Saccharomyces cerevisiae S288C: one gene and its partners. Changing the gene in region 1 together with any one later gene gives a genetic interaction. Each region holds a gene or a part of one and is shown on either strand. Other genes may lie near its edges.

Region 1 (7,664 bases):
CATTAATCTCTGGTGAGTATGGCGCTAGTAAGCCTGGTCCCTTGATTGTACCATCTAAGACGAATTTCGTTGCAATGGCAACTGGATAACCAACAGTAGCGGCCATAGAACTGTAACCACCAACCTTACCATAGTCAACTAAAGTGGATGTTCTTGTTTCGGTAGTTCCATCAGCCCATTCAATACCGAATTTGTGTTGTAGTACAACCATATCTCTTTCATTGTCTTCATATTGCATTAGTTCTTCTAAACGTGCACATAGAGTGTCTAAAGCATTACCTCTTGGTGTGATCTTTGCGTCAGAGAACAAGCCTAACCAAGCAAACCCGGAAAGGATTCTTTCTCTATCTTCATCATCTTTCCAAGTAGCCTTTGAGTCAATGGAAGCAATCAAATCTTCTTTAGAAGTAGACTTGGCACCTAAATATTGTTTTAGTGCTTCGTTCCAGGCAATTGGCTTGCTGAAGATTTCGTTAGCATCATCCTTCAACATACCCATGTCAACTAAAGCCTTAACAAATTCTGGGAAACCTTGATATCTCAAAGTACCTCTAATGACCGTTTCGGCTTCTGGAATATGATAAAGATCCTTGAAAAGGGTAGAGTCTCTATTTGGGTAGCAAACGAATGCATAACCTGGGTAGATGAAGTAAGGCTTAGCAGTGGCCATTAAGTCTTCGGAAGAAACAGTTTCAATCTTTCCGTCTTTCCAGTATTTAGCAGAGTTTCTTAAAGCCAGTAGCACACCTCTGGAGGACCATGAAAATTTGTATCCTAATGGATTATCAGAGTCTTCAGGAGCTGGTAAACCACCACAGTATGACAAGAATGACTTTAGCTTACCACCAGCTCTGTGAACTTCATCAATAGTCTTGACCGCATACAAGTGGTCGATACCTGGATCCAACCCAATTTCGTTCATAACTGTAATACCTGCCTTTACGATTTCTGGTTCCAATTCTCTTAAGGCAGGTGAGATGTAAGAGGAAGTGACGACATCGGTCTTTGTTCTGATGGCGCTCTTTACCACATTTGGATGGAAGGTGTATGGAATCAAAGAGATGACAACATCGTTATCAGCCAGAACTTTGTCTAAGGCACTGTCATCGGTAACATCCAATGAAATAGCCTTGGATCCAGAGGGCTTGGCCAATGCTTGCGCATTGGCTAATGTTCTACATGCGACAGTGACATTGATGTCATCATTAGCAGCCAATGTGTCGATAACAGGTTGTGCAACAAAACCAGATCCTAGCAACAAAACGTTCTTTCCCATATTAAAATATATAATACGTTAATATAACTCAATTGTCCTGATAAGTTTTCCCTACTGCCTAAGGATCCTTCCCATGTAATTTTACCAGGACCCTACGGTTTATATACCATTAAGCCAAATTCTGTGCTACTTTCTATCATCTATTGCTGATAATTCCATTGGAAATTCTCAATACCCTTTATTGACATCTTTATTTTTCACTACAAAGCGAATTTTTCCAACGGAATTTCGATTCCAGAGTATGAGTAATTCTTTTCACTACTAAACGCATTGCTTCGTGGTCAGTAGTAACCGCAATCACACTCTTCACTTCTGTTGTGGTGAATATCAAAAGAAACAAGAGATCATCCACAATTTCCTCAGCTTGACTTGTCTGCAGTTGCGATTAAAATTTGACTTTTGCTCCACCGCTCTCTACAGGTATTATATTTGGAAATCATCAAATGATGGGAATCCCCTACGTGGCACTTAGATACGATACATAAGACTCTTGCATATGTAGCTACCAACGTGGGAAAACCTTTCAAGTAACAGTTTGTTTGCTCTTAGCAACTTCTAGCCCTAATGAAAAAAAATGAAAAATAATTGCCAGCTTTTCCCCGCGACTTTTCAAAATCGGTATAAAAGCAAGTCGAAAATCAGTCAAAAAACTTTTCTCTCTTGATTGCTTATTGCAATCTCACTTGTTTTTTCCTTGATTTTACTTTCAATTTAGTTTACAATATCATGGGACTTTATCTCCATGACTATGCCATTTCTAGGTAGCCTATGGTAAACGAATCCCGTAGATTATTCACACGTTTGTTGTCTTTGTTGACAACAACACAGAGTAAGAAAAAGCAAAAGATTTATCTCTTTTGTCCATCTTTTTTTTATTTTGAAGGCGTGTAACATTTATTGGTTACAACATGGCTTGTTTTCTTGTCCCTAACAATCGCCAGGAGAATTTTTTTTGAAAATTTTCTTCTATTTTAATTATGTACATAAATGTCGTCAGTTAACTACAAATGAGCTATCTATCAATATGCTTTTTTTTTTTTTTAATTACTGCTCAAGCTTGCTATCCCCTTCTACCTCCGTTTCCTAGCACAGAAGAAAGTGCCCATATATCATTATATTCAATTTTTAACTTGTCTCTTTTTCTTTTCTGCCTCGGTTTCGCGCATCTACTCTACGCTATATTTTCATAATCATCTCATTTAAATGGCATTCATTCCCTTCCGCGCCAGTATATTAGTTACTAATCATACAGTTTCTTGTTTCAATTTTTTAGATTTTAATTAGCGGTTTTTTTTTGGTTTTTCTTAAGATTGGTTTTATGATTTTTTTTTTTCTTTTTCAAATTTTTTTATTATTTTTTCAATTTTTCTTTTTAAAAGGCTTGTGGTTGACTAGTCCTTTCTTTTTAGGGGTTGCTTTCTATGAGAACGTGTTCCATTAGTAAATATGCCAGGAGGATTATTGCTCGTGGGCTTCTTTACTGTTTTTCTTTCTAAGCATACTTCAATACCATCAATTGACTTTTTCTTCTTCTCTAAAGCATCGATTTGGCTCTTTTGAGTTTCAAAGTCGACGACGGCAAAATTGTCTGCAGCTGTTATCCTCATAACTTTACCGAATTCTTTTTCTAAGGCACTTCTCAATTTTTCTTCTCTTAAGCCATTTGTACCTCTAATGTAGATTGGATAAAAGCCGTCCTTGTTAACGGTGCTGAATACTGGTTTTTTCTTATTTTTGCTGTTAGCACTAGCGTTGTCCCTCCGATTCCCCATTTCAAATTTTCTTTCAGTCGGTTTCTTGGGTAGTGTTTCAGGTCTGATGTATTCAACCGTGGTATTATTTTTGCTAATTCTGTCGGAGTTTTCATTCATCAACTTTGAGGCCCATGTCATCTTTGGTGGATTCGCAACGGGCTCTGGAGAAGATGAAGGTGTTGAAGCGTTATTGCCGGATTCTTTGGCGTCGGAAACCTGTGGCTCTATTGGTTTAATTTCAGTTTCAGCTTCCTTTACGCCCCCAGGTACCGGTTTTTCATCACTAACTTCTTTACCGTTGGGCAAAGAAGAGTTATTAACAGCATTTATGGCCTCAACAGAGCCTTCCTTTGTCTTGATTGGTGCAGCTTTCTTTTCGGCTTTGTGAGATTTTTCATTTAGTTTAGTAACGTTTCCTAACTCTTCTGTAGAGACCTCATCTTGTTTGTGGTTGCCCTTAGTACTAGATGGTACCGTTTCGGTGTGAATCTTGGACTCTTTAGTGACGGGTATAGCCCGAGGTTGACTATGATCGACAATTGGTTTTTCCTGAGTTGACGATTCAGTTGGCGCAGTTGTGTCTTTGACCGTTTCCTTTTTGGCCTTTGGTTTCGATATTTCTGGTGATTTTTCTTTTTCTTTTTCTTTTTCAACTCCGGACTCATGCCTTATTTTATCTTCTTCAACTGCACTGACAGAGTTCTCCTCGTTAGATTGTGACAAAGAAGCATCTGTTAAGACATAAGGCTTGAATGAATTGGAAATAAATCTGATTATATCATTGGTAATGTCAAACGTAGACCCATTGCTGGATGGTAGCAGGATAAATGTTTGACAAAACTTATAGACCGGAGTTCCTGTCCAAAACATTTCACCCGTGGCCATGATCAGAATGCTTTTGTGCAAGTGCCCAGTGTACTGGAAATCTATAGTATCTAATTTTAGTTTCAAGCTCCTAACTTTGGCATCATTTCTAGAAAAAAACTTATTAATGTTTTCACGTCCAGTAACTTTCACCGTTGGAAGAACGTCATCTTTTTCGTTTGTTGACTTGGACTGATAATTAGTATGCGTCAACTCGGCTGTACTTGCATAAAAATATGCCAATTTGGAAGGGTCGGTCCTCATTCTTTCGTAGTAGTTTTGCAAAAAGGCAAAACATATGTCTTGAACGGTAACACCCATTTTCTTTTATTTGATACTTCTATTCGAGGGTATGACTTCAAATGCAACTATTAGTGACAAGGTAATAAAACTATAACACACTTGAAAAAAAAAATGCGATGGTTTTGTAGTATTCTTCGTGATCTTTTTCTCTTTAAAAATCAACGAAAAATAAAGATGTATCAGTAAAATAAGTTTTCAACAGATTCTCTGTAAAATGATTGACTAATTGAATATTTGAAAGAAAATGAGGTTTGAACGAAAATAATAAAACAAAAAAAAAAATGTAATTAAATGGGCAAAAATGAATTAAAATGTAGGGAAAAAACACAACTTGAAGAATTAAACAGAGTAAAAAAACGAAAGCTTGTGGTAGGTGATATAAATAAATTAAAGCAATATCTTACTGTTTATTCTTCCTCTAGAATAGTTTTGGTACTAACGGTAACTAGAAAACTGAAGAAGTTTTTCGTATTCTTCTAATACTCAAGCAAAATATCCTATGTCAAGTACTACCACTTGTACAGTCTTCGTTTTGTACAAATTAGGTATGAATTGCTCTTTTTTGAAACAGTAATGGGATAAAAAACAAATGACTTAGTTTAACGTCCGCCGGTTGCGATAGAACTTTTAACCGTAACAATAGTAACAGTGGACAGGAAAAAAAAACGGTACGAAAAGGTAATATTGCCTAATCTGAAATAATGTAGTCACTCTAGAACTATTAATAAAGAAGCTTGTACTTCCTCTTATCCCTGGAATGGACGGTTATGCTGCTTGCAATATGTCATTCTTTCATTAATCGCCACCTGATGTTTTTCGCTGCTTTGGACGAAAAAATTTCCAAGAAAAAATAAATGGTTAAACAAACTACAGCGCACGTGACCGATAACTATACGGGAATAACGCATCAATCTCCTGTGGAAGAGTGCTTATTGCATCGAAGAACCAATCTGTATTACTACATGTCCAATCATAAGCTGATGTTGCTTTTAAACTTTTTTTTTTAAAATTGTGTATACATATAGTACATAAATGATCATTGGTCCCCATCAATACCGTATATGACACCTTGGTACTTGGCGAAATCCGTACCGTTTGGGAACTTATGCATAGACAGCTTGCTCAATTGGCAGAAGGATAGAAGCATCAATAGACTCTGGCCGCCTGTAGTAGTAAATATAGAGAATCTTGGTAGCCCTAACTCATCGGCAAGTGTGGTTAGTGAATATTGCTGCTGCTGTTGCTGTTGTGAAGATTGTTGCAATTGAGGGTTCTTGAACTCCTGGATTATTTTATACACCAGGTTTAAGTCGTAGAAATTGGGCATGTATTGATGGACCCACCACTCGAAATCCTCCTTGTTGTTGGGCATGGAGTCATTCATTAGAATGTTGATCAGGAAACCTAGATCATATGCCGCATGGTATGTGATCCAAGTAACAGAATCATCCATCATTAAACCAGAGTCCATTAGAAGCTGCGAAAATTCAAATACATCGATGCCTAAATTTTCGTGTTTTTCGAAGTTGATACCTGATTTTCTGAGTAATTCTAACGATTCTGTGGACATGATTTCCTTCTTTGGGTCAAATTCAAAATTGAACTGCCACGTTGAGGGACCGTTGTCAGGCTTATTGCCGTTGGCGTCACTCAAGGAAAGACCAAGTTGTATTGGGTTTAAGAAGTCTACGTTGGCCCTCATTGTCTGATAGTGGTAATCGACCTTCGACCTGAAAGTGCCGATCGGCCTAGCCAAAGTCCCCACAAACTCAGTACTGATTGACACATGATTATACTGCGAGACCAGTTGTCTTATAACGGCGAATTCACTGTAAAGGTTGGACTTCCAGACATCGCGAACGAAAAGATAATTTGGGGGTGGTAAAAAGATCGGTGGCATACTTTGGTTGGTTAAATGCTTGGGTAGCTGGGAAGCCAAGGGACGATTGAGTCCCACTCCCTGCTGCTGTTGCTGCTGTTGTTGTTGCTGCTGTTGTTGTTGCTGCAGAACGTTCAGTCCGGGCGGCAAACTAGCCACCGAAACAGGCGTTCCTATATTAAATGGCTGCTGTTGTTGTTGCTGTTGCTGTTGTTGCTGAGTTAACAGTGGCTCGTTCTTCTGCTTCAAAAGATAGGCATTGTTCATCTCCTGATTAACAGAGCCATTAATTGTATTTACAGGCATCCCTTGAGGAAACATTCTTGCTCTATTAACCTTTGGCGAATACACCTGAGGTCCCATGTTTTGCTGCTGGTGTTGTTCAGAAGCCTGCCTCTGAGAGAAAAACTGCTCACCTCCTACAGCTAATACCCTCGGTTGTACATTCATAGATTGCATAATCCTTTTTGACCCTTTATAAATGTATAAAATTGAGTTGCCTGTTTCTAATCGTTCGAAGTATTTCCAGTATGAAAAACAAGGAAGCCCTGATAACGAGACACGCTAATAAACTTCAAACTGATCTTTCTTGTCAGTTATCATTCTACTACTATAATTGAAAAGACTCAATAAAGAAAATATCATAATGATGAAAAAAGAGCGAGCAGCGGGTAAGGACCGAATTCCGTTTGGAATGACTGGTATAATGAGATTTACCTTATACTATAGAGAGGGCTATATCATTACCGAACTTAAGTTTTCTATTGGAATATTATACTTTATAAACTAAATAATTACCCATCTATGTTGTTTCCCCAAGAATGTTTGCTGCCATATAATAAGAACAAAAAAAAAAATAACAAAAAAAAAGAAAAAAAAAATCACTTGTAATCTTAAATTAATATTATACACCGGTTGTCCGTTTTTACCTCTATGCCGTCTTCTCAACTTCTTTCTTCTTTGGTTTTTCTTCCCCTTCCTTTTCAGGTGGAAGGACGAACCAAGGGATTTTACCTCTATTAAAATCATTCAATATTTGCTTAGAAACACCAGACTCATCAGGCTCACCACCCTTCAGTAATCTACCTTGTTTCCTTGCCAGAATTTCAATAAACTCCGTGGCATCCTTCCATCCTGAGATCTCGTAAGTTCTTTCCAAGTGCTTTACCTGACAACGTTTTAAAACACCTGGAATATATTGTTCTGGGTGTGTGACGTGTTCGACTCTGACAACACCTCTGAATAAAATGTCTTCTTCGGAGTCTTTACTAGAAGGCGGCACAATACCTGGACAATCAATCAAAAAAATTCTTTTCATAAGAGTAATATATTGCCAGACCTTAGTTTCACCAGGGATTGGTGCAACTTGACACACCTTTTTCTTTCTCAATGTGTTAATGATGGACGATTTACCAGTGTTTGGATAGCCGATAAACCCTACAGATATTTGCTTTCTATCAGTATGCAACTGTGAGAACTGACGTAGCAACTGAATTAACGAACCTTTACCGAAAGAGTTGGTAATAGATGCGTGAAACGCCAAAGTTGGACGTTCCTTTGACAAATGTTTGACCCAAGCTGCCTACTT
Region 2 (7,023 bases), on another chromosome or scaffold:
AGAACTACGGTGATAAAGAGCTCGTTCCGATCACTAAGTACGGCCGGAAGAGAGCTGTTGTTTGTTGTCCATCAAGGGCACATCGGCACCGGCCTCATCGTCTTCATCATATGCTGGAGGCTGTGCTTGAGATTCCTCTGCAGGGTGAGCTTCCAGGTCACGGTCTACGGCGGGCGCAGTCGCATGTCTGCGTGAAAGATCGTACGAACGTTCACTACTCGTTTCATATACAACGTAGCAAGCGTGAATGATTGCTGGGAAGAATAACAGTAGGAAGAGAAGTAAGTTCAATAGTGTATCCCTGTTGAACATACCCTTACGCTTCCAGACGGCCACTGGGGGAATGAAAACCGCCAAAACCATTAACAACAAGTCGTCCTTGTTGATGGAATAGCTCATTCGATGGTCATGGTCATTAATATGGTCTCTGTCCATTTCTAAATTATATTTGGTTGTTTGCTTTCTGCTGGGTTTTTATTTTTTAACCTAGCCCCTTTCCTGCAGCTGGCTCATTCGTGCTGTACTCTCTTTCCTTTATATACTAGTGAGACCTTTTCCCCCGTTCCCAAAAAGAAAAAAAAAAAAAAAAAAAGAAAACGAGCCTTCATCACGTGCATTAAAGAAATAGTAATCCCAACGCACTCATCCGCTATATACATAGCGAAAAACTATATGCCCACTTCACAAATACGAGTTTGCATGTATAATATATAAGATTTATAAATGTTGTAGGGTGAATGTAAACGTTCAGTAATATACCGGTATATCTATCAAGATACGATCAATGCAACGCTTTACTGCACTGCACTACACCCCTTTTCCTCTACTTGTTTTTCTTAGTTCCTATTTCCCTCTCAAAATGCACCTGTTCACCAGAGTATTCTTTCTCATTGCAAGTATTACCCTACTTTATCGTCCCACACAAAGAGGAATATATATAGATTATAAGCGAATTGTAGATTTCGATGGAGATCTGATTTCCGTGCAAAATATCCAGGACGTCTATACACAGTGTTTACAACTCAGCTTATATTCATATCATGCCATTTCAAGATTATTTTCAGAAGAAAAAAGCAGCGTTCATTAACAGAAACAATAAAAGTAACGCAGATGCTTCAGCGCTACGAGATATTAACGATATTAACATAAATTTCGCCGCCAAGAGCAAAAACTACGTGTTCCCGCTAACAAAGCTCCCCGATGAGCTCATGCAAGAAGTATTCTCTCATTTGCCGCAACCAGACCGCTTGCAGCTTTGCCTTGTGAACAAAAGGTTGAATAAGATCGCTACCAAACTGCTTTATAGAAGAATATATTTGAACGACTCAAATGTAGTGAAGAGTGACTTCATGCATCTCGCAATTAATTGGACCCTACTGAACTTGCCGTCTTCGTTGAAAGAAGAGGAGTCCCGCGATATCGCCAACTGCAAATTGAAAAAACTTATAGAAACACTGCAAAATAATATTCACATTACTGAAGTCATCCAGTGGATAAGGATCAACTGGGATTTGGACTCTACCTTGCAAAGGTCCATTCTCAGCATCCTTTGCAATCAGGGCAAGTCCTTGCAAAGACTAGAAAACGTCACTGACCCGGCTTGTAACGATATCATCTCCAATGGTCACTTTTCCAGGAGCAACGTCTCAAGTTTCGACATGGCTCCTCCAAATTCATTGCCTGAGATGGTTGTTCCCGAAAATTACATTCCGAATCTCACCAAATATCTTTCACAGCGTATCTCTTCTCGGCTTTCTCATATGACTTTATTCATCGACCCTTTAAAACTGTTCAATTATCTTTACCCTTTAGATATCAAGTTACAAATCATCGATTTAAAATTGCATTGGAGGAGGGAGTTTTACAATAATGATTATTTTGTTAAAAAGATACGACCCGGCAATCCTCTGACTAAACTATCGGAGGTTTTTGACAAGAGGACATTGAAAATTCTTACCATCATTTCTTGGAATGACACTTTGTTAAAACGCGAGACAGAAATGCTGAAAGATTTTAAAGAATTTGAGAACCTGGAAGATTTGTCTTTGATTTCTATTAAGCAGGATGTTCATATCCTCGTAGATCTTTTTAGTTCGTTAACCAATTTGAAAAGACTAAAAATGGATTTCTTAGAGGAGTATGTACCTGAACCCACAAATCCTCACATATTTCTCTCCATTCTTTTAGCTTGCTCCAAATTGCAATTCATAGATCTGAGATACGACGGTCTTATCCCACAAATCATCAATATTCAAGAAAATAAGTTCCAACTAAATCAGCAATGCAACTGCACAAACTGTCAAATAGTATTCAGTGACATTCTGAAGGGCAAAATATTCATGTTCCCTGAAGACTACTATATTCACGATCTTCAAGACATTGCTGCAAAGGATATTTTTAAAATGATGAAATACCTATCTTTGTTACCATACTCTAAAGCTTGTGATGCTTATCCGAGCGTTAGAACACAACCAATGAATTTGACTAATTTTGTGACCAAGATGAACCGCAACCTTTTGGAATATAGAAATTCTAAATCCCAGTTGGTGCCCAAAATCGTTAATAACCCACATCAACACTCCACCGTGACTTCCACATCAACCGCTCATATGAGCGAGCCCGAAATGATAATAATCGATGACGATGATGATGATGATGAAATTAATGCGGCCATTCCTCCAAGTAGTGATGACACAGCAGCTACAATTTCCACTGACCTGGAACTTCCTCATGAATCATTGACCAAAAGAGATATTATTATGTGTTATCACGCTCTTATCCATCACTTCAAGTCGATTTACGTTACTTTTTTGAAAAGTTTTCCTCATTTGAGATTCTTGATGTTGAATGACATTCCCACAATAGTTATGGAGGAGAATAATGAACGTATTTTTGAACCCGTCTTTTATCATTATGATTATAAGAGTAATCTGTATGGATGGTCAAAGGAATCGAACAAGAATCTGGAGAACGACAGCAACAACAACAATAATAATTCTGATACCATTGCAAGAATAGCCACTGTTATGTAATCAACTCCCCTTCAAATATATATATTTAATAATATATATTCAACGCATTTTTTAAGCTAGCAGGATTCAGATTACTGGTCTACTTCATATTAAGGAAATACAAGATCCATTCGGATGCTAGAAAAAAATCAACCAACTATTCCAATGTTGGTAAGCTGGTTTGATAAAGTAAACACAAGATACTACAGTATACGATCACTCAGACATCCTAGGAAGGTCTCTAAAGAAGAGCGGTCACCGAGAGTACTAACGATGGGTTCGTAAGCGTACTCCTACCGTGGAAACTGCGAATGTTAAGGAACCAGTCTTTCATCACCGTGATCATAAATTATATATATTATCTGTCTCCTCAAATTACCCACATTTGATAATCTCATGAGAAAAAATAAAGGCTCAGATCTGCATGTGTTGTATAACACTGGCAAGAAAAGTTCCCGTTTGCAAACACAAATGATTAAAAAAAAATGTCACAGAAGCAACATCTTTTCAAAATCATTCGCATTAAGAGAACGAGATAAAATCCCTTGTCGTCATGGTCGAATCGGACGAGGAAAGAAGAGACACCATTATCATCAGGGCCAATCAATTCTTCTTTTCTGTTTAAAAAAGTGTCATGAAATTTCTCTTGAGATTATTCAAACTTGAATGTATCAAATGGGAAGGAGTGCAATGCTGAAGTCGAAAGAGGAGGATTACTCTCATTCTTACTACATTACAGTCACTGCTGTTTGTTCTTATGTAGGGGAATTCTTATTAACCGAATGTCGAGATTATTATAACCTTACAGAAGGTTGTCCAGTATTTATACATTTTGTTTCTGCCCATAAAGCTCTAGAAAATGAAAAAAAATTTTCTTTTCAGCCTGAGAAAGTTTTTTCTTAGGGCAGCGTGTGGTTATTGGGTGTTGCGAAACTTTTTTTCTCAAACATGAAATTAAAGAAATGAAAAATTTTATCGATGAGCATTGAATAGCTCAAGTTATAGGGTATTCGGTATCATATAGGTCTGTGATCGAGTGAGCAGTGAGCAGCTAGGATTCAATAAACGGGATTAACAAAAAATTGATATGTCCAAGCTTTCGAAAGATTACGTATCAGATTCAGACTCTGATGATGAAGTGATATCAAACGAGTTCAGCATACCAGATGGTTTCAAGAAATGTAAACATTTAAAGAATTTCCCTCTCAACGGTGATAACAAAAAAAAAGCGAAACAGCAACAGGTTTGGCTGATCAAATTCCCATCAAATGTGGACATCTCCAAGTTAAAATCTCTGCCTGTAGATTTTGAATCCTCTACAACCATGACAATTGATAAACACGATTATAAAATCATGGACGATACAGATATTGAGTCCTCGTTAACACAGGATAACCTCAGTAATATGACTTTATTGGTTCCTTCGGAAAGTAAGGAAAGTCTTAAAATTGCTAGCACTGCCAAGGATAATGCACCATTACAGTTTGACAAGGTATTTTCTGTCAGCGAAACCGCTAAAATCCCAGCTATTGATTACAGTAAGGTAAGAGTTCCACGTAAAGATGTTCCAAAAGTAGAAGGCTTGAAGTTGGAGCATTTTGCTACTGGTTATGATGCCGAAGATTTCCATGTGGCTGAGGAAGTTAAAGAAAATAAGAAAGAACCAAAGAAGCGTTCACATCACGACGATGAAGAGGAGTCTAGTGAAAAGAAGAAAAAGAAGAAGGAGAAGAGGGAGAAGAGGGAGAAGAAGGATAAAAAGGATAAGAAAAAGAAACATAGAGATTGAATGCGTATGTGCGTATAACTGTGTGTAACATAAGATAAAAATGTGCATTTGTGTGTGTGTCAGTGATTTTTTTTCGCATTTACATATATAAAAAGGCATTTCTGCTGGTGGAAACTGATGAATGTTTTGTGTGGGCAATATTACTATTTAGTTTTGCATACTTAAATTTGTGTATACGATTAGAAATTTCAATATTTCGGGTGTAACACAAACGATTATTTTTTTCTTGATTTAGAGTCGCCATATGAATATTATTAACCTGCTTTTTCTGTGTTCTCTCTTATATGAGGTTCAATGGTAAGTGTGTTTTTAACTCGTGTTCTTCTTCATTAATCATCTTTAATACACTTCCAAGGTTGACCTGTAAATCTTCAAAGATTAGTTTATCCTGGCACGTCCGATGGATACTCCGTATAGAAATATCTAAGGATCTAATAAATTTGTATTGGTCCATTATTGGTGTGGACGGTTTCTTCGGTGACTCCAGCATTATTTTGCTTTGTATACTCAATTTTACGATATCAATTAACCATTTTTTGACCAATTTTGGTTCCTCTTCAACGCATTTCGAAATAGCCCTTAAAATACGAACAAGCAGGATTTGATTTTGGGTGAAAGAGAAACCATCATCTTTATTGTGGTTCAGGACCGTTAAATCAGGCAATATATGTGACTTTTCATACAAAGATTGATAAATTAAAATCAAATCGTTATTCCTCCAATTTGCGCCTAAAAGCTTAATGTAATGAATTATATTTTGACGAATATTATCTTCAGATACGTTAGAAGTTAGACATCTCCACAAAAGACGTCGCAGAGGAAACGGTAGATCACTGTAATCGGACAACCAACGAGGCTCGTAGTCTTTTCTTATTTGCACATCGTGCGTTCTATAATACAACAGGATGGATATCACTACTCTTTGGTATTCGTCAAACAAGGCTCTGTGCTCCCATACTTTATCGAATTTGTTGAACTTTTTTGAGAGCAAAATTTCTGTTATTTGACGCACATTAGTTAACTTGCCCACATACTGCAAAAGCAGCAGCCTATCATATAGATCCTCGGACGATGAACCTTGTAGTTCCTTCGAAGAAGAACTTTTGTTATCCGTTGCCTGGGTAACTATTGAGTTCAAATGTGAGAAAAGCACATCGTAATGAACAGCTACTTTTTGTTTCTTGGACTCTACTTCCGGTAGATTTGAATTCAGTATTCTCAGGATGTTCTCTATATGGTGATTTTGAAGATTATTTTCTTTAGTGCGTGAACGATTCAATAAGGAACCTTGTTCATTAACTTCAGAAGATTCAAACAAAGGCCCCAACAACTTCACTGGACCTTTGGTCAAGTATTTTAGAGTTGATTTCAGCTCATCATCTTTCGACTTCAATAGTCGGGTTGCTAACTGAGAAAAAGTCCTCCTCATAATCAATGATTCCTGTAGATAAAATTGACAAAAGGCAGCGCACGCACTATTTCCCTTTAGCCAGCACAATTACTTATGCGTGTTGTTGTTTAGGGTTCGTAAATCTATATTGAAACGCAATTTATATTCTACTGTTTTCTTTTCGCACAAACAGAAAACCGCTGTCACATTATTGTATGACTGTTGATATCGGACCATCATTTTCGACACTTTCATTGAGGGGAAAAATGTTGGTGTCATTACGCTCTCTACTCATGTCTTTATGTAAGTATACGTTTACAAGATTATTTATATGCTATGACACTACGGGTTCTCAACTTGCAGCAAAACAAGAAGCAGTTAGCGGCACATTTCGGTGCAAAAACTTATCAGCAGTTTTTGCTGCCTCTCTTTCACTAATCTAACTTACTATGTACGGCCGATAGCAGTATATTGTGCTTTTTACTGTCTTTTATTACTTTTGCTGTTGCTCTTGCTCTTGACTGTTCCCATCTTTGCTTCGGAAATTTCCCCATGCGCTGCAGGACAGAAACACAAGCATGATTGAAGCAATCGAATTGTGCAGTCGAGTTCAAAATTGGCAGAGAAGAAAAGAGGTGGAAATTGCAACACGAATCACCGCTTTACCACGCAAAGATATCTGGATTCTTGATATCAATCTTTTTCAAATATATTTTATTTATTTATCAAAAGGGCAAGAAAGAAAAAACGATTGATAATAAAAATGGATAATCAGCAGGAAAGTATATCTGAAGATATCACCGGTGATCTGGCCGCTGCTGTGAGAAAGTCAT
Region 3 (11,500 bases), on another chromosome or scaffold:
CAGCACCAAAAGGGACTATTTCACAGGGCAAAATCTCATCCAAACAGGCGCACTTGCTTCTATCAGGTGTTTCAGGTAGTTTTTCGTTTGCCTCCCAAACTCCGACAGCAATATGTGGACATTCAACACTTTCTACTTCAGTTGGTTCTTTTGCCGTTAAGTATTCTTCCTCTGTAATGCCTTTAGGATCTGCCTTTGCAAATTCTTTCTTCAAATTCTTGAAATCAGGAAGAATATCCACTCCATCATTATCATTTATCTTAACAACTCCGTATTCATTTTCTTCTTCAAAATACATGTATGCAAGGCCACCAGACCAAACAGAGGACATTTTATTGCCATAAAGGGCACTAACTTCAGTGAATGGCCTTGGTCTTACAAGATTGCAGCCGAATTCCGAAAAAAACACGGGAATTGGATAACCTTCAAATTCTTTCGTTCTTTCCCTATATCCACTAGTACCATACGTGGAATACCCACACCATTCGTACATATTTATCCCATAGAAATCAGCTTTAACGTCTCCGCAAACGAAGTACCTTGCTAAATTGTCTCTTGTCATAGCATCGTCATTAGTTGAATAGCCGACAGGGATTTTTCTATGATTAGAATGCGAAATATACTCCTTGGCATCTCGGATTGCGGCCTTCACGAAGGGTGATGCAAAGGTATTTGTATGGTCATTTGTCACTTCATTCCCTGCAAAATACCCCAACAAATTTGGAAAGGATGACATTGCATCAATTACAGATTTGTACCTTTCAAAAATATGTACATCCCAAGATGGATTTTCTCTATTTATTGAAATATCAGGCTCTGAAAGATCTAATAGGACGTACATTCCTTCGGCAGATAGAGCTTCCATACATATATCATGTGATTTTGTCGGATCTATTGCATAAACACGCAGTGTGTTCACTCCTAGCATTTTCAAAAATGGAATATCTCTTAAGCATATTTTTGGGTCCGCTAAGGCATCAATATAACTTGTCTCAAAAGCCCCATTTGCATTGCTAAGCTCCTCTTCACTTCTCTGCAATTGGTAAGCAATGCCCTTGATGAAGAACTGTTCCCCACTCTCAGAGTCAAAGAATTTGTTTCCTACAATTTTAATAGCAGGGGTTTTTTCAAAGCTGACACCTGAAGAGCCATGAGACAATTGCAAACAAAGAAAAATAGCCACAATAATGGCTGCGTAAAAATTTTGTTTCTTGTTCATACTTAACTGAAAAGTTTCAAGTACCTCGAGTTAACGAATAGTAACGGATGTAGGTTGTTGAATGTTGTCTTTGTCTGACAATCTTCTCGTTGGGGCTCGCAACTATCTAGCTAAATTAATTCATTTACAATCAGAGTGACACAAATTTTTTCAGAATTACTGACACCGAAAGCTGCTCCGTTTTTTATAAATAGAGGCCGATACTGGTGAAAAAAACTAGACAAAAGACTGTTTATAATCACATAACTGTACAAAAAAACCCTTATTGGCATAAACACATTCATATACCTATAATATAAAACTAAATTAAAAAGACGCTTCCAAAAATAAGTAAAAAAGCATCAACATTAAAACAATCTAAACCAAAAACATCGAACGGTATTTGCAACATCTTGAGAGTTTCTGGTCTACTTGCTTTTGGATAGAATATCAGTAAAATCAAGCGTTCAAGCAAGTATTGATTGTATTATTTTATAGTTGACCAGGTCTTTAATGATGGCGTATGAGTATAGTAGTGACTTTGATAAGTTGACATTTGGGAACCAGTGTCATTATTGGTTGTATTTATTGGTTGGAATAGATTGTGAACAACGCCATCCAATGAATCTCCAATGTGTTTGTGGATCTTAGCAGAGGCTACAGCAGGACCAATAATGCATCCTGCAAAAATAGCCAATACTAAAAAGTACAAAGAGCAGTACTTCTTGACCATACGCTTACGCAAACGAGTTTGCTTCAGAGAGTAAATTGGGGGACGAATTTGACGAGAGGGCTTTAGCCAGAATAGCATAATCGAGTGGAATTTATCTATTTTTGGGATTATAATGAGTGGCAGTTGACAGATTAAAATCACATGACCTAGAACAAAATCAGCTGCAAATTCTGAAAGCTCAATTACCTTGGCGGTTAATTCTCTACTTGGCTGGGTCCAAGCCATGTAACCCATACCTTTACCATACCACTTACCAGTCCAGAAGGCTGTATTGGCATGATCGTTTTTAAATTCACGAGTCAACATTAACGCTGTCATGCAATGAAAAATGAGTCTTTGACATTGGATACAAGTAACGACTCCGATTAACATTCTAACAAAGTTGAAGCTCTCCAAAACCCACATGACAATGAAAAAGGCAATGTGGACAATAACAGCAACACCGTGGGCAATTCCAGCCATTACAGAACCTGTCTTCTTACAACACATACCAAATAAGGGACCAGAGCAGCATGACATACCCATACAGAAGAATAGAACACCGAGGTTAACGGCGATTGGCGCCAAGGTACAAATGATGATACGTAAAACAGAATTCACCCTATCATCATCAGTAGTCTTGACACCGGTTTGAGCATTAATAAACGTGAAGGCAATAAAACAACCAGCTGCATAAATTGCACAGGGTATGATTTCAGCCATGATCAAATTGGTTCTATGAGCCCTGCTTGCGTCACCAGCAGCTTTCTCAGATTCATCGCCAACCAGTTTACGTTTAAACCCAGTAATACGTGCCCTAGACATCCTCACGTAACCAATCCACGAGTTTCTATGATATTGATTATTACCTCTTGATAACCATCTGATATAATCCCTGTAATCCAAAAAGAAATCTTCCCAAGCAAACTGATGTGGATTGAAAACGAAAGGCGCAAAAATTAATGAAGATAGAGAGGCCCAAAACCACAGTAGTGGAGCTTGCCAATGTGCGACAGTACCGAACAGCAACATTAACATTGATCTTGCACCCATGTAGATAGCAGATCCTGCAAATCTTGAATACAAAATTGAAAATGGTATACGAGAAGTTGCAAAACCACGACCGGTGGATATATAACGAGCACCACCAATTGCTAAATCACTTAATAACGCAGAAGAGTAGATTTGGCCCGCAAACACTTCGAACATAGGGGATAATGATAATAGGTGGCAGAAAAATCTTTGGGTGGCTTTCCATAGACCACGTTCAATTAGTTCTTGAACAACAATAGGAACGAAGGCAATCCAGAAAACAATGAAAATAGACAATGTATAACGTCTCACCCAATCAACCGCAGGTTGGAAGTTGTAACACCCAATTGGAACCAAAACATCTGTTTTTGGTTTGTTCCTATCGTAAATACACATAATAGATTCATGGGCCAAGGAAGATAAATTCACCAAAGTCAACATAAACATTTGCAAAGATAATTGAATGAACAAGTTGTTCAAATGGAAACCAGGATGGGCATAATAGAATGTTAGGAAACGGTCCACTGGTAATTGGGTACCCAGATAATAATATTCACGAGATAACATTTGTTCACCCATACCAGCACCAATCTTAGTAGTGAAATTTAGAATTGTACCGAAACCCAAATCTCTACCTTTACCACATTGATAATACTCACAATGCTTGATACGACCACCACGAAGCATAGCATTCATACCAGCATAAATATCTTCGTTTAAATGCAAACCCTTTTGTGCTTTGGAAACACCACCTCTAGTGGTCATAAACGTAGCATTAATGAAATCCGGATGACCATAATGCAATTTACCACCAATTTGAGATAAAGTACGCGCAAATAATGTACCAAAAGTTTGTTCTTTACCAGCGGCCACATCACCCAGCACACCAGAGTTTTCAGAGAAAATGTATTCTCTGGCACCAACAATAGCAACAGGATGATTAGTTGTTTGCTCCTCATACCTTAAACCGGGAGCATATGGATTAACTTGTTCAACGTTCAATTCCTCAAATTCAGCCAATACAGATCTAATCTTCAGACATTCTTCCAAGTAGTTATCTTGGTTGGCATCAATTAATTGAATGTATTCACCTCTGTAAAAAATCAAAGCATGGTTTTGGTTATCAGATTTACCGTCACCAAGAATTGGGTTACCAGATAATTGAACTCTAAACTTGGGACGTCTACGACCATTATCTAGAATTTCACAATGTCCATCAATCAAAGCGGAATAGATTCTTGGCTCCTCACCTTCAGTCAAAGGTGGCTCTTCATCCAAGTAGGCAATTTGTAAGTCTGGGTAAGCTCTCAACAAAAACTCAGCATTTTCCAGTTCATGTGGTTTGAATTTAGCCAATCTCTGCATAGAGACCAAAAATTTAAACTTTCTTCTTGCCATCTTTTCTAGCTCTCTTTCTAAGCCTTCAGCATTACCACCAAACATTTGAACAATTTCAGGATTTTCCACACGATACAGTAATTTGATAGCTCTTGAATAATTCATGAACCCTGAAATGGTACGATATAGAGTCTGCGACCTCAAAGAAGCCCAAATTCTCGTACGAAGTGTATATTCTGGAGCAGCAGATTTAAAACCAATACAATAAAATGGCAAATCATCGATTTGAGATTTCAAAGCATCTTCCTTTTCAGCTTCATTTTCATTTCCTTCATAGGCAGCGGTTTCTTCAGCCAAAATCTTAGTATCCTTAACAAAACATTCCCATTCAACGGGATGTAATTGTTTTAGATATTCTAAAAGAGTAACTCTAGAAAATTGGTCATCTTCACGAATAATTTCTCTTAATGACAGCAGAATTCTTTCCGCGTAGTGAGGAGTCAATACTGTGAACGTTGGCATGTTATCAACTGGAAGTGGTTCGGGAATTGGAGTAGACAAAGATTGAGCAAAGAAAGAAATACGACGCTCAGCCTCTGAATCCCTAGGGAAAAATTCAGTCTCAAAATTATTGTCATCTTGAGAAACAAAGAAGGTAGGAGCTCTCAAAGTTCTTTTACCTTCGATTTCAGATGGAACTTGATGATATAGTAATTTTTGTACATGGTCGATGGCTAAGAGATGTTCTCTGTACATTGAAATAATGATGGCATTCCATACTTGAGAAATCAAAACCTTTGGTTTGTATTTAATTTCCATATCAGTAGTAGCCAAAATCTTGGAGTATATTCTTTTTGGCAATCTTGTGAAGATATTTCTCCATGGTGTTAAGATAGAAATACCTAAATAGAAAGATTTCCCAACAGAGAAAATGGTATTCACAATAATGTACCATAAGTAGGTATCCAAGAAGAAAAGAATGAAGTCGGTAGCGATAACCAAACCTAAGACAATCTTGGGTTGCACTTTACAAAGTACCGCACCCCACCAGTATTCACCTGTACACCTCATTGCAGTGGTGGACAAAATTCTAATTGGATCTCTCAAAGATAAAACTAAAAAGTAGTACGATTCTGAATATTTGGCAGCAAAAACAGTAACCCAAACTAAATAGGACATCCATCTATCTAACCCATGTAGAGGGGCAAATGCAGCAGTGAATGTTTGAGATGCAACATAACGCCTTGTAGATTTTTTCATATATGACGTAAACAACCCCCCCAATGGCATAATGGAGAAGAATATGATGGTAGCAACCGCAACAAAGAACATAACAGCAGCAACAACGTGTGCAGCAGTGGAGTAGACTGTATCTTTGTCGTAAGCAAAAACAAAAATAATAGGACCCAAATTAATACCAAAGATGATGCATAAAAACCAGAATCTACGAGATAGATGTTGAGCACCAGCCCATTTTCTTGGAACGAATGACCATTCACACAAAGTAGCGACAATTTGAATCAAACTTGCGACAGTACCACCTAATGCGCAAGATGCCCACTTGTAAGCAGCCAAAGGTTGGTTGTCGACCAATTGTTGATAGTTATGAGTGTAAAATGTTGGTGAATTATATGCAAAGTACATCCAAAAAATGGAGATATGCATAACCCAAATACGGTTGAAGTTGGTGACCAAATGTAACCAAGTACGGGTCTCTTTATATGTTTTGAAGAATACATCATCCCAGACGACATCGCCTAATCTTAAATAACGTTCTTCCAATGGGAGTTCTATCAATTTTGTTCCATCTTCAAGAACAATCTTTGCAATACCTTCTGGATACCAGAACAATTGGTTTAAATCATCATAACCGACAATTTTGTTATGATCTCTTTCACGCTTGACAAAACGACCATCAACAATTTCATAAACTTGATTTCTGATGAAATGATAAATTGGCGTAATGACTCTATTCAAGAAATCACCTTCTGGCATAGGTTCTTGGCGTTGTTGGCAAAGAGGGGAATCCAAGTAGTCAAGAGCACACTTGTAGATAAAACATAAACATTCAGCAGTGAATCTGACTTGATTAGCTTCACCCCAACATAACAGATATAAGGCGATATGACGAACTCTTTCCAGGGGAGACAACTGGTTCATCTTGGCCTTCCATCTAAAATCAGCAGCCTCTAGGGAGTTGTCGCCTTCAATTTTGTTTAAAGTTTCTTCAGTGTCTTCGGGATTGGCCTCTTCCATTGCTTTCTTGTTTTTCTTCTTAGCTTTTCTTGCCTTCCTTGAGAGTTTTCCAAGACTCATATTTCTAAAACCAATTTCATCATCCATATCTAACTGAGCAGCAAAATACCATTTTTTATAGTTAGCAGTATCGCCACCAATGTAGTCGGCATGTAAAGATAGTAAAGCTTGATCAGGAGACATTCTCGAGGACCTAGAGTCCAAGAGAACCATAAAATGATCAAACATATTTCTCATGGAGTCTCTTTGGAACCCGAGTCTGTTGGTCAAATCAATAAAGATATCTTCGATTTGCTCGATCGAAACGGGAGATTGAGAGTCAGCAGTCCAAGCGGGATAAGGTTCATTTGGCAAAGCCATAGCGATAGCATTTGGGTCATAATTACCGTAAATTGGAGTCGAGGTACCCGACGAATTTGGTTCTCCATAACTCATTTGAGAAGCGGTATACTGACCACCATAGCTATCATATCCAGGTGTTCCAGGAGGGCCGTAACTGCTAAAATCCGAGAAGTTTTCACCGTCTTGAGCAGCCATATTTGGCGGTTGACCATAGTATTCACCGTTTGTGTAGTCTTGGTCGTAAGACTCGTTTGGTGGTTGTTGACCATACATATCAGCTTCAGTACCAGCAGCGACATTTGGATCGTAGTAACCATCAGCTTGTGAAGGATACAAAGGCTGGCCATATTGGTCATAGTCTTGTTCCTGACTTTGCCCGTTACCTGGTCCCTGGGTATAGTCCGTTTGGCCCTGATAAGGTTGTTGATCAGTGTTCATGGTCTGACCGTTGTATGAAAGACTTGATTTCAGCTACTTGCTTATTTTAATTTTTTTGAGCGAACGTAAGAGAGGTTAATGTCCTCTAACTATCAGTCCAATGACAGTATTTTCTCCTTCTCACAAACTACAATAAATATCTACCAATCTCTTTTCGAATAAGGACTAATGATATACGCTAGTTCCTGTTTGGTAAATGAAGGCTAGTGTTCGAGAATGGAGAACTTCGTAGTCGGTTAAAACAGCTGTAGTGTTCTGGCCTTCTTAGAAAGAATAAATAGTTCAGGAGTAAAATCAAAATATCTTTTAATATAAACTAAGACAAAGAAAGAAACAAGAATTTTGATCTGAAAAAATCGAAAAAAAGGAACGAATGGATCGATGAAAATTTTCGAGACTAGGTTATAATTATTTCTTTTTTTAGATTTGTGCGCGTAAAAAACGGAACCAGAAGAAGCCAAAAAAAAAAGAAATTCTTCCTGTGCTTCATCAAAACGCGAAAATTCGTCGCCCAGTAAGTGAGACTATTTCCTATAATAGAAATCCAAGTGGCAAAAGCGTTAGACGCAGTACAAGGACGCGTTAAGAAAAATTTCGAGAGAGTCGCCGATAGTAGGATTAGAGTTTCATAACGCGTTACACGGAAGGAGAGCAGTAAGGAGGGCCCGATACAGAAAAAAAAATGGCGCTTGTTACAGATTCTGATTGCCCGTACATGACATGGTCTTTCTTTTCTTTTTCGTTAATATTTCTGCTTTTTCATGTGTGTCGAAAATAGTTAGCTCGATAAGATACTGTGATAGGCAAAAAGAAAGTTTGTCCTTCCGCATCGGTGCTGTCCCTCCTTAGCTGAGGGTTCGGTGTACCTGTGCTTTTTCGGAACCAGTTCTTGGCCCGCTAAAAATCGCTACGTCCATCCCTTTGTCTTAGTCAAGCACGAAGGAATTCGAAGTTTATCGTAATTTTGCTTTGTTCTGGTCCCTTGGTTTTCTCTTTTTGCATAAATCTGGCAGTATCGTAAAATGTGATTTGCACAAACCAATGCACAGAGGAGAGTTGAAGTACAGATAGAATGCGTTTACGACATTACTTAGGCCTTTCCAGGGCGCGAAAAGACAAAATATGGATTGCCCTTGCTAATTGTGTAGATGTTTGCATGCCGCGGTTTTATCGCTGCGTCACATATGGGATTTTGATTGATTCAAAGCCTTGATATTATCAATAAATGGTTCAATCACATCCCATTTATTGAATTGGAGGCCTTCTTCGTCCTCTTCTGTACTTGAAGTGATTGATTCAGATTCTGCGTTTGAGGACTCTCTTTGTTGGCTTTGCTTCATATCTTGAACAGTTCCGTTGCACCAAGCGCTCAAGAGTTGTTGCCGTTTTCCTTCATTGTTCTTTAACCAGAGTTGAATAATTTCATCAATTCCCAAAAATAACTGCGGAATCTGGTGCTCAAAGACAATTTTTATGAGAATTTCAATAAATGACAAAAATACTTCATCGGAAAATTTTTCTAAAAAATTGACAGAATACATGAACTTAACGATCAAGATAAAGCATTTTTGAATCTCTAAAACAATCGTTGAAAATACTCTACTGAAAAGAACGTAGTTGATAATAGTGTTTCTATTGTGGCATTGATCTTGTTCTTTTAGCTCGATTCCGAATTTGAAAGTTTCCAAAATAGAATTGGAAAAATGCTTCAAACGGCACATTATGTCCACTATATTTGTGGAGGGATACTGACCCTTTAGCTTGCAAATTATGTACTTGTCATTGTAGCATTTCAAATCTGCATCAAACATTTGTAATAAGTTTATGTTCTTTATCAACGTTTCGACCCAAATATCGTGCACAATGAACTCAATTGTGTTAATGAAAGTAGATTTTTCGAAAGCCTCATCAGAAGAGTCGGCCAAGAGTTCAATGTCTTCAAAAAAGTTTAATAACACCACGCAGTTCGGAAGTATTAGTTCTACCAAATTTTCTTCGGGATTATCTTTGCTTACTCGAAAGTCATAGAGCGTATTGAATAGTTTTTTGTTTATTTCATTTAGAGTCAACGAACATTTTTCAAGGGTGGCACCAGATAATAACTCAGCATAAGGGACATTATCGTCAAAACTAAATTCTATCACGTCTTCATCTGCAGTATTTAGCATAAAAGTTGCTGAGTTTGAACGAAGACTATCAATGTTTCCATTTTTTTTTGAAAATTTTGACTCCGCTATATGGTTACAGTCAATACTCTGGGTATATTTACCACTCGAAGCTGGGTCATTACTGTTGTTAATTTGGTAGTTTAAATTAGAAGAATTATCATCTTGAATTCTATCCCACTTTCCTTCTTTCTCATCGATCCTTATCGGAACTGCGTCAGTTCCAAACTGGCTTCTGATAGTTTCTGCATTACCGCGATGGAGCTGTTCGCTTTTATGGTGCCCTGAATTGTTTTTTGATGTGAATAAAGAATCATCTAATGGAAAAAAACCTATACTACTCTTTTTTTTTGAAGGTACATTATCTTTTACGGTATATTCGTATTCCAAAGGAAGAAAGAAGCTATTTTGTACGTTAAAATTTGAATTATCTCCCCTTCGAAACATATTCTACTTCTATTGATCTCTTAAGGAACATAGAAATACTGCAAGATAGGTTTTTTTTTTTATGGGAGCTTCTGCTCACCTCTCATCGAAGCAGTAGTTTCGTCTTTTACTTTTCTTCATTATTTCCTCGCAGCTATTTTTGATTTTGTGACATTTCTTATATCCGACGTCTTGAAAGAATCAAGCGATAGTAGAGAAAAAGACAACTTTTGGTATTCTCAGTATTTCAATAAGCATATAAAGGATAAAAACCTTTGTTCAGAGACAAGCGTAAATTGGGAAGATAGTATAGCTACTTTCTCTCATCAAATCATGAACTTTGAAATAGTCCGTATGAACTAGAAAACCAAACTACATTAAGTGGAAGTATTTTTATCCAGTTAGGTGTCCAGAGCCGCTCAGAATATATGAAAATCGCCAGGTATTCGGAGACTAACTCAGGCTAGCGCAAGGAACCGGACAGTACATTATCATGAATAAAATGAATCAATGAGGATTAATGTTATTTAATTATAAAATAGTATATATGAAATTAACTTAATAATTCATGTTGCACTTCTTAATCGAATAAACCGAAACCCATGTCGTCATCAGATTCTTCTTCTTCTTCAGCAGCAGCTTCTTCAGCTGGAGCAGCGTCACCGGAAGCAGCGGAGGTAGCAGCTGGAGCAGCAGCAGCGTACTTTTCTGGGTTTTCAATTCTGTCAACCAAATCTTCAATTTCAGGGTAGTGGTAGGAAGCAGCAATGGCAACAGCTAACAAGTCCTTGTAGTTGTTGATCAAAGTGTGACCGACAGATGGCAAGGTTGGGTAACCAATAGCCAAAGAGATAGAAGCAATGGTGCTGACAGCGGAAACGAAGTGAGAAACCAATTCTTCATCGGTGATATCCAAGATAGAAGATGGGAACACTTGACCGTTGTCGTAAACTTGAACAACAGTCAAACCGAAAGTGAATGGAGAGATGTTCAACAAGTTCAACAAGGAAGCTTCAGATTGACCGACCTTGTTACCGGCGTCAACGACCTTGACATCAGAAACAATTTCAATGGTACCTCTGGCAATCTTGGTTGGGACACCCAAAGCTTGGAAGAAAGAAGTCTTACCTGGTTCCATACCAGTGTTGACGGCTCTAACCCAGATGTCTTCTGGAGCAACGGCACCAGCTCTGGCTGGAGCAGCAACTCTGTTAGAGACAATAACGTTCTTGATTTCAGTCAATGGTTCGTTAGTGAAAACGAAACCAACGTTACCTTTGACAAAAGGCAACAACTTTTCGAAGTCTGGCAAGTCGGATAAGAAACCTCTGATGGCTCTTCTAACCATGGTGTTCTTACCCATCAAGACGACAGCTCTGCCTCTCAATTCCTTTCTGACTTCGTGCATTTGTTGGGAAGAAACATTGTCAACACCAACAACGAACAAAGACTTGTATTCTTCCAAGTATTCTCTTAATTTAGCAAAGTATTCAGCTTTCTTTTCACGAATGCCTCCCATTTCAAACTTATTATACGTATTTATTAGACTGTTTGCAGGATGTTTAAAGGTATTCCGCTTATGTATCTTATGGC
Region 4 (6,288 bases), on another chromosome or scaffold:
GTGTATGAATAAGATAGAAAAGCAAAAGCAATTGCTTTTGCTAAATTAATTCAGTTAGTTATCTATTTATATGTACATGAGAAATGGGAGAATTTTGAGAAGCGAGGGTGAAAGTGTTATATACGCATATACATGTATATATATGCGCATGCTTATCACCTATGGGAAAGGACTAAACTTTTCAATAATTCTCTTGGGTTACCGTTACCACTTAGGAAATATTTTTCGTCAATCAAGTTCTCCCACTTTTTTCCTGTGATATCCTTGTCTAATAAAACATTTGATTGTTTGTAGTAATCGATTAGTTCGTTAACTTCCTGTTTGTTCAGTTTAGGAACCTCGAATTCGGTGACATTACCTTTTTGGAGCAATTCTACGAACTTCGGTTCATAGTGATATCTAGTAACATAGGGGTCTACTGGGATCTTGCCCAATGCCACGGGTAAAGTTTTGTTTGTCCTGTCAACGCCGGATATAGCTAATATAGTAGAACTCTCACCATTAGCAAATTTCGTCTCTCCTGAAATAATGTCCATCATCAATTTACCCATTTGTAAATCCAGGGAATATATTTGTTTATTCTCTGTATTTCTGTACGCAGAATATGCAGTAGTTAACACTTTTGAAAAATTATCCACTGTAAACATGATTGGCACCTTGGATTGGACAGATAACTCATCAATAATGGCTTTCATTAGTTTTCCACGATTATGCGGGTGGGTCATTACGGATAACAAATCTAAAACTGTATTTTTCGTTTTGTTTAATGTGACAAATGGTTTTACAGAGGCATTCTTTGGGTTTGCATTCGAGAACTTGTAGTCTTTGGATAGCTCAATAGATTTTAACAATGCAGGGTCATTTGCCTTCAATATTTTCCTTATAAGCTTTTTCAAATACATCGGTTGGATGAAAAGCTTTAAATCATCATCATAAGAAAAGTCATTCCTACCGTTCAGGAATAATTCAGGATATGATATGTTAATAATGATTTGCTTGGAATCAACTGCATATGCATGCGCTTGAGAGAGTAGTACAGTTTTCCCGACCCCTGGCTCTCCAGTGATTATAAATTTTTTAACAGGATGAGATACTAGTTTCTTCAAAAAGCTATTCGTTGCATCTTCACGAACTAGACAAACCGGTTTTTGAAAAAGTTCATTGAACTGCGACTTCTTGAAGGAACCCAAATGGTGAAGGGATTTGTACTGTTTGTTGGAATATGATACTACTTTATTCAAAGTCTTGGAAATATCATCAAAGTTGAAGATAGGTAATGCCAAAGGAACGGCGGTCTGTTGTAATTGAGCGGTGTGCGTGGTGTTTGTCCAGTTTTTATACAATGAACCAGGAGTAACTCTCTTTGCAGATGAGTAAGATGAGACTGAAGATGATTTTTTGGAAAATCCTTGAGTTTTACCTTTTGGTGCCGGTTTAGCAGCCTGGAGAGATCGTGCCGTAGTGAACAGCCTTTGCCCAATGAATCTTGAAGTTGACATACGTAGCATTATTCTGATACGTATACCACGTGGCTTGTACTTGTTCTCTTGTTAATGTTTTCCCTCGAAGTATAGAAGTTGATGTATATATACAATATACATATATATATATTCTTGTACATAGTACTTGCTGAGTTTCCTTTTCTTTTTCTTCCGTTTTGTAAGAAAGCCCCGGAAAATATAGTGTTCCATAGGATAAAGAAAAACAGGCATACATATGTGCAAGCTAGTCGAGTAGGATAGGTTCATTAGAGACCAGTCTTGCAATATCGTCATTCAGTTCCGTCTCCAAATTAAAATCAGAGTAGTAATGTAGCGGGATCAAGGGCGAAATATCCTTGACCGTGGGTATGAGGTTCCCACTTGACCAGTTTCGGAATACGTGCTGCGCTGTGATGGGAGTATCGAATACAGTATATATGATGATTGAATCATCCTTCGAGTAGTTGTTTCTTTCAGAGAAGTAGATGTCGTAGATTTCATTAGCACTTAGCGTGATGAATACTTGATTGCGCAAATGAGATAAGCAGTTTGATTTATTATTTGATTGCAGGAAGTTGTCAAGGACAATTCTCAAAGTAGAGCAATCGTAATACGGATGTTGCGAAGCATTTTCTTGGTCTTGTGTGTTGAGATGTTTCCAGTCACCATAGGGCAAGTTGAAATGTTTTAGTTTCCTGAGTAGCTCGCCGTGGCGTTGGATTTGCAATAAATCAGGATGTGGTGTGGTGGTGGGTATCGTACTCGATTCAGATTCTTCCAGCTTTTGTATAAGTTTATTTCTTTCAATGTCGTTTGTTTTCCGTAGGAACTCAATTAACCAGCGGTCGTAATGGGGTCTCACGTCTGCATTGGTGAGGATATTAGTTGCGGTCGATAATAAGTGGAATTTGTGTATAATTGATGGATTGTCCGGGTGTTTGTCAGGATGATACTTCAGGGCAAGGGTCCTGTATTTGCGTTTAATTTGGGGCAAATCATCGTAGATGGTATGGACGTCCAGGGGGGTCGGTAATTCTAATACATCATATAGGTTCAAACGTTGATTTATTACGTCTTCCAATTCGTGTCCTGGCATAGTCGTGGCGAGGCTTGTAGTACGGCGATGGACTTGCTTTTTGATTTTGCTTTCATCTTCTAATGTCTTGCGAGATAATATGCAAGGAAAACAAAGGAAAGAAAATACAAAGTAATGCGGCTTGCATATATATATACATATATATATGTATATATGTGATATATATATGTGTGTGTGTGTATATATATTCATGAGTGTATAAAATAGATATATGAATGCGTGCGAATGTAGTTATAATTAGGTGTGTTCAGTTGGCCCATCTTTCTACCATTTCATTCATCCATTGCGGGCCTTGTAATTGAATGATCTTGGGCAGCTCGTCTAGCCCTTCCAGCAGGCCATCTTCATTAACGATCGCCGACTCCATGAACCCGTTCAACAGCTTTAAAATGAAGAGACAGTTTGGATACACAATGCATTGCGAATAAGGGGGGTTGCACCAGTACTCCAGGTATTTCAAGTAGTTTTTGAAGTTAGGAGACTTCCAGATCTGCTGTTGAGTGAGTAAGTACGTTACGTATTGGATGTTTGCCAGTGACTGGATAAATTCGAGCTCCACTTCGAACCTCGTGGGGAGAGGATTTTGATCCGAGGAAGGTGTCGCTGGTGCGTTTCCATTAGTGCTTGACATCCTGGGTGGAGCTTGGGGGAACTTTGCCGTCTTATGAGTGCTATAAGTTTTGGCTTACTTTGCCTCATTTTTCCTGCATTTCTTTTTCTTTTTCATCCTTTAAGAACACGTTAGCGGGAAAACCGTGAAATAAAATACAAAACGAACTGTTCGAAAAAAGCCAAAGGGGAAACGCCTAAAACTCCACTGAAACCAGCTATAAAGCACGGCATATTACAACAATGTCTAGCAAATGGTTTAATGCTATACACCTACTGGTGTGCCCGTTGACGGTACTGGTAGGATATCTCATGAACGCGTATGGCTACGGTGCGGCGCTGCAAGCAACCCTGAATAAGGATGGTCTGGTAAATGCTATGTTGGTAAAGAAAGGGTGGTTTTGGACTTCCTTGGTCGGATGGTGGTGTATTATACGCTACCGTGCGGTGCCGGGGGCAACCGGCAGAGACCGAAGACACATTGTCCAGTCATTCAAAAGGTATGCCATACTGACAGTGTGGTGGTACGTATTCACGCAAGGTATATGGTTTGGCGTAGGCCCCATCATGGACTTGGTATTCGTATATACGGGTGGCCATTGTCACTATGACGTCTTCGATGATGCAGGTCACGTGAACGAAGACTTCCAGGGTTCTGTCACCCGGACTAATCGCGCGTTGGCGCTCATTCACAATGTCCTCACTTTGCACGGACACCACCAAGAACACCGTCAGCAACAACTCTGGGACCGCTCCATAGGGTCGATCCAGGGCGCCCTGCAGGCGACGCAACCGAAAACCCCAAAAAACGTAACGGCCAGCGCTGCCGCTGCCATCAATACTTTTATTCATGACCAGATGCACAGGTGGCAAGGTCCGTTAACCACCTCGGCACAGTGCAGACGTTTTGGAGGCCATTGGGCTGGAGGACACGATCCATCCGGGCACGTGTTCTTGGCCACCTTGATGTGCATGTTTCTTCTAGGTGAGCTACGTGTGTTTGGGCGTCGTGCACTGGCTCACTTGTACGCGCAGAAATGGCAGCTTGTACGATTGGTGACCCGCCTTTTCGACACTGGACCGCTATGGACGTGGCGGCGGTGTGGCGGCGGCTCAATGACCTGTGGCGCCCGTTTGTGGCGTGCGATAGTCGAGCCGCCTGTCACGTGCGCGGCCGCCCTGCTCCGTTTGACGCGATGCATAGCATGCGACCACCCAGTAATCATACTGCTGACGCTATTGGTCACGTGGTTATGGCAGCTGCTGTTGACTGCGGTGGCGTCCCGTTTCCACACCGTACGTGAGCACATGTCTGGATTGCTAGCTGCGTACATAGTGACAGGCCTTGTCTACGCTCGCGACGCAGCCGCGCTACGTCCAGTATGACTCAGGAAAAGTTGGCGATAGACCACGAGCGACTGAAAAAATAACAGCGACTTTTCTCCCGGTAGCGGGCCGTCGTTTAGTCATTCTATCCCTCGGATTATAGACTGTGAATATTGCATATGCAACTTTGACTCAAATTTTTCCAAAATTTGATATATATATATATATATATATGTTTGTATGTATATATATATATACGTATATATATCATATATACGAAAAGTAGAAAAAAAAAGGTGATATTTCGCTCGTGGAAAAGCTAATGCCACAGCTTGTGTTTCGTGTAGTTTGCCTTGCTCCCCTTGATTGAAATAGTCTCCCTAAACTAAAGTTATCAGCAAACAGAACCACCACAGTTACTACTACAACCACATCGCAATATGAAGATCACAGAAAAATTAGAGCAACATAGACAGACCTCTGGCAAGCCCACTTACTCATTCGAGTACTTCGTCCCGAAGACTACACAAGGTGTACAGAACCTGTATGACCGGATGGACCGGATGTACGAGGCTTCTTTGCCCCAATTTATTGACATCACCTGGAATGCAGGCGGTGGACGGTTGTCACATCTGTCCACGGACTTGGTTGCGACAGCGCAGTCTGTGCTTGGTTTGGAAACGTGCATGCACCTTACCTGCACCAATATGCCCATTTCGATGATTGACGACGCTTTAGAAAACGCTTATCACTCCGGTTGCCAGAACATCCTAGCGCTGAGAGGAGATCCTCCTAGGGACGCAGAAAACTGGACTCCCGTTGAAGGTGGCTTCCAGTATGCCAAGGACTTGATTAAGTATATCAAGTCCAAGTACGGTGACCATTTCGCTATCGGCGTTGCCGGCTACCCGGAGTGCCATCCGGAGTTGCCTAACAAAGACGTGAAGCTTGATCTCGAGTATTTGAAGCAGAAGATCGACGCCGGCGGCGACTTCATCATCACTCAGATGTTTTACGATGTTGATAATTTCATCAACTGGTGTTCCCAAGTTAGAGCTGCGGGCATGGACGTGCCCATTATTCCCGGGATCATGCCGATCACTACCTACGCGGCCTTCTTGAGAAGGGCCCAATGGGGCCAAATCTCCATCCCTCAACATTTCTCGTCCCGATTGGATCCTATCAAGGACGATGACGAGTTGGTCCGTGATATCGGAACTAACTTGATCGTGGAAATGTGTCAAAAATTGCTCGACAGTGGTTACGTTTCTCACTTGCACATCTACACCATGAACTTGGAAAAAGCGCCTCTCATGATTCTGGAAAGATTGAACATTCTACCTACGGAATCAGAGTTCAATGCACATCCATTGGCCGTGTTGCCATGGAGAAAATCTTTGAATCCAAAGCGTAAAAACGAGGAAGTCAGACCTATCTTCTGGAAGAGAAGACCTTACTCCTATGTCGCAAGAACCTCTCAATGGGCCGTGGACGAATTCCCCAACGGTAGATTCGGTGATTCGTCTTCTCCTGCGTTCGGTGACTTGGATCTGTGTGGTTCAGACTTGATCAGGCAATCAGCGAACAAATGTCTCGAATTATGGTCCACCCCTACTTCCATCAACGACGTCGCCTTCTTGGTCATCAACTACTTGAATGGAAACTTGAAGTGTTTACCTTGGAGTGATATCCCCATCAATGATGAAATAAATCCAATCAAAGCACACTTGATTGAGCTGAACCAGCATTCTATCATCACTATAAACTCTCAACCTC

Evidence for each region.
Region 2: mutations in BRE5 (region 1) and RPA34 together harm fitness more than expected from each alone (negative genetic interaction), as found in Saccharomyces cerevisiae (5 studies listed by BioGRID).
Region 3: mutations in BRE5 (region 1) and FKS1 together harm fitness more than expected from each alone (negative genetic interaction), as found in Saccharomyces cerevisiae (5 studies listed by BioGRID, with this or other methods).
Region 4: mutations in BRE5 (region 1) and SOH1 together harm fitness more than expected from each alone (negative genetic interaction), as found in Saccharomyces cerevisiae (5 studies listed by BioGRID).

The regions. Positions count from the first base shown.
Region 1 is NC_001146.8:714,113-721,776, forward strand, and holds BRE5 (Bre5p), read right to left. Parts: upstream 4,216-7,664; coding exon 2,668-4,215; downstream 1-2,667. Other genes in the region: LYS9 (saccharopine dehydrogenase (NADP+, L-glutamate-forming)), read right to left, coding at 1-1,276; CCR4-NOT core DEDD family RNase subunit POP2, read right to left, coding at 5,234-6,535; putative GTPase NOG2, read right to left, coding at 7,008-7,658. UniProt on the Saccharomyces cerevisiae protein: Has a role in de-ubiquitination. In conjunction with UBP3, cleaves ubiquitin, leading to the subsequent mono-ubiquitination of sec23.
Region 2 is NC_001142.9:136,339-143,361, forward strand, and holds RPA34 (DNA-directed RNA polymerase I subunit RPA34), read left to right. Parts: upstream 1-4,098; coding exon 4,099-4,800; downstream 4,801-7,023. Other genes in the region: SNA3 (Sna3p), read right to left, coding at 34-435; SCF ubiquitin ligase complex subunit DAS1, read left to right, coding at 1,041-3,032; SMT1 (Smt1p), read right to left, coding at 5,081-6,229; IDS2 (Ids2p), read left to right, coding at 6,954-7,023. UniProt on the Saccharomyces cerevisiae protein: DNA-dependent RNA polymerases catalyze the transcription of DNA into RNA using the four ribonucleoside triphosphates as substrates. Component of RNA polymerase I (Pol I) which synthesizes ribosomal RNA precursors.
Region 3 is NC_001144.5:805,813-817,312, reverse strand, and holds FKS1 (1,3-beta-D-glucan synthase), read right to left. Parts: upstream 7,317-11,500; coding exon 1,686-7,316; downstream 1-1,685. Other genes in the region: GAS2 (1,3-beta-glucanosyltransferase), read right to left, coding at 1-1,219; YLR342W-A (uncharacterized protein), read right to left, coding at 1,330-1,503; SPO77 (Spo77p), read right to left, coding at 8,495-9,928; 60S ribosomal protein uL10 RPP0, read right to left, coding at 10,488-11,426. UniProt on the Saccharomyces cerevisiae protein: Alternate catalytic subunit of the 1,3-beta-glucan synthase (GS) complex. Synthesizes 1,3-beta-glucan, a major structural component of the yeast cell wall. Involved in cell wall synthesis, maintenance and remodeling.
Region 4 is NC_001139.9:267,568-273,855, forward strand, and holds SOH1 (mediator complex subunit SOH1), read right to left. Parts: upstream 3,209-6,288; coding exon 2,825-3,208; downstream 1-2,824. Other genes in the region: mitochondrial 37S ribosomal protein mS29 RSM23, read right to left, coding at 156-1,508; U2-type spliceosomal complex subunit CWC23, read right to left, coding at 1,726-2,577; SCS3 (Scs3p), read left to right, coding at 3,430-4,572; methylenetetrahydrofolate reductase (NAD(P)H) MET13, read left to right, coding at 4,953-6,288. UniProt on the Saccharomyces cerevisiae protein: Component of the Mediator complex, a coactivator involved in the regulated transcription of nearly all RNA polymerase II-dependent genes.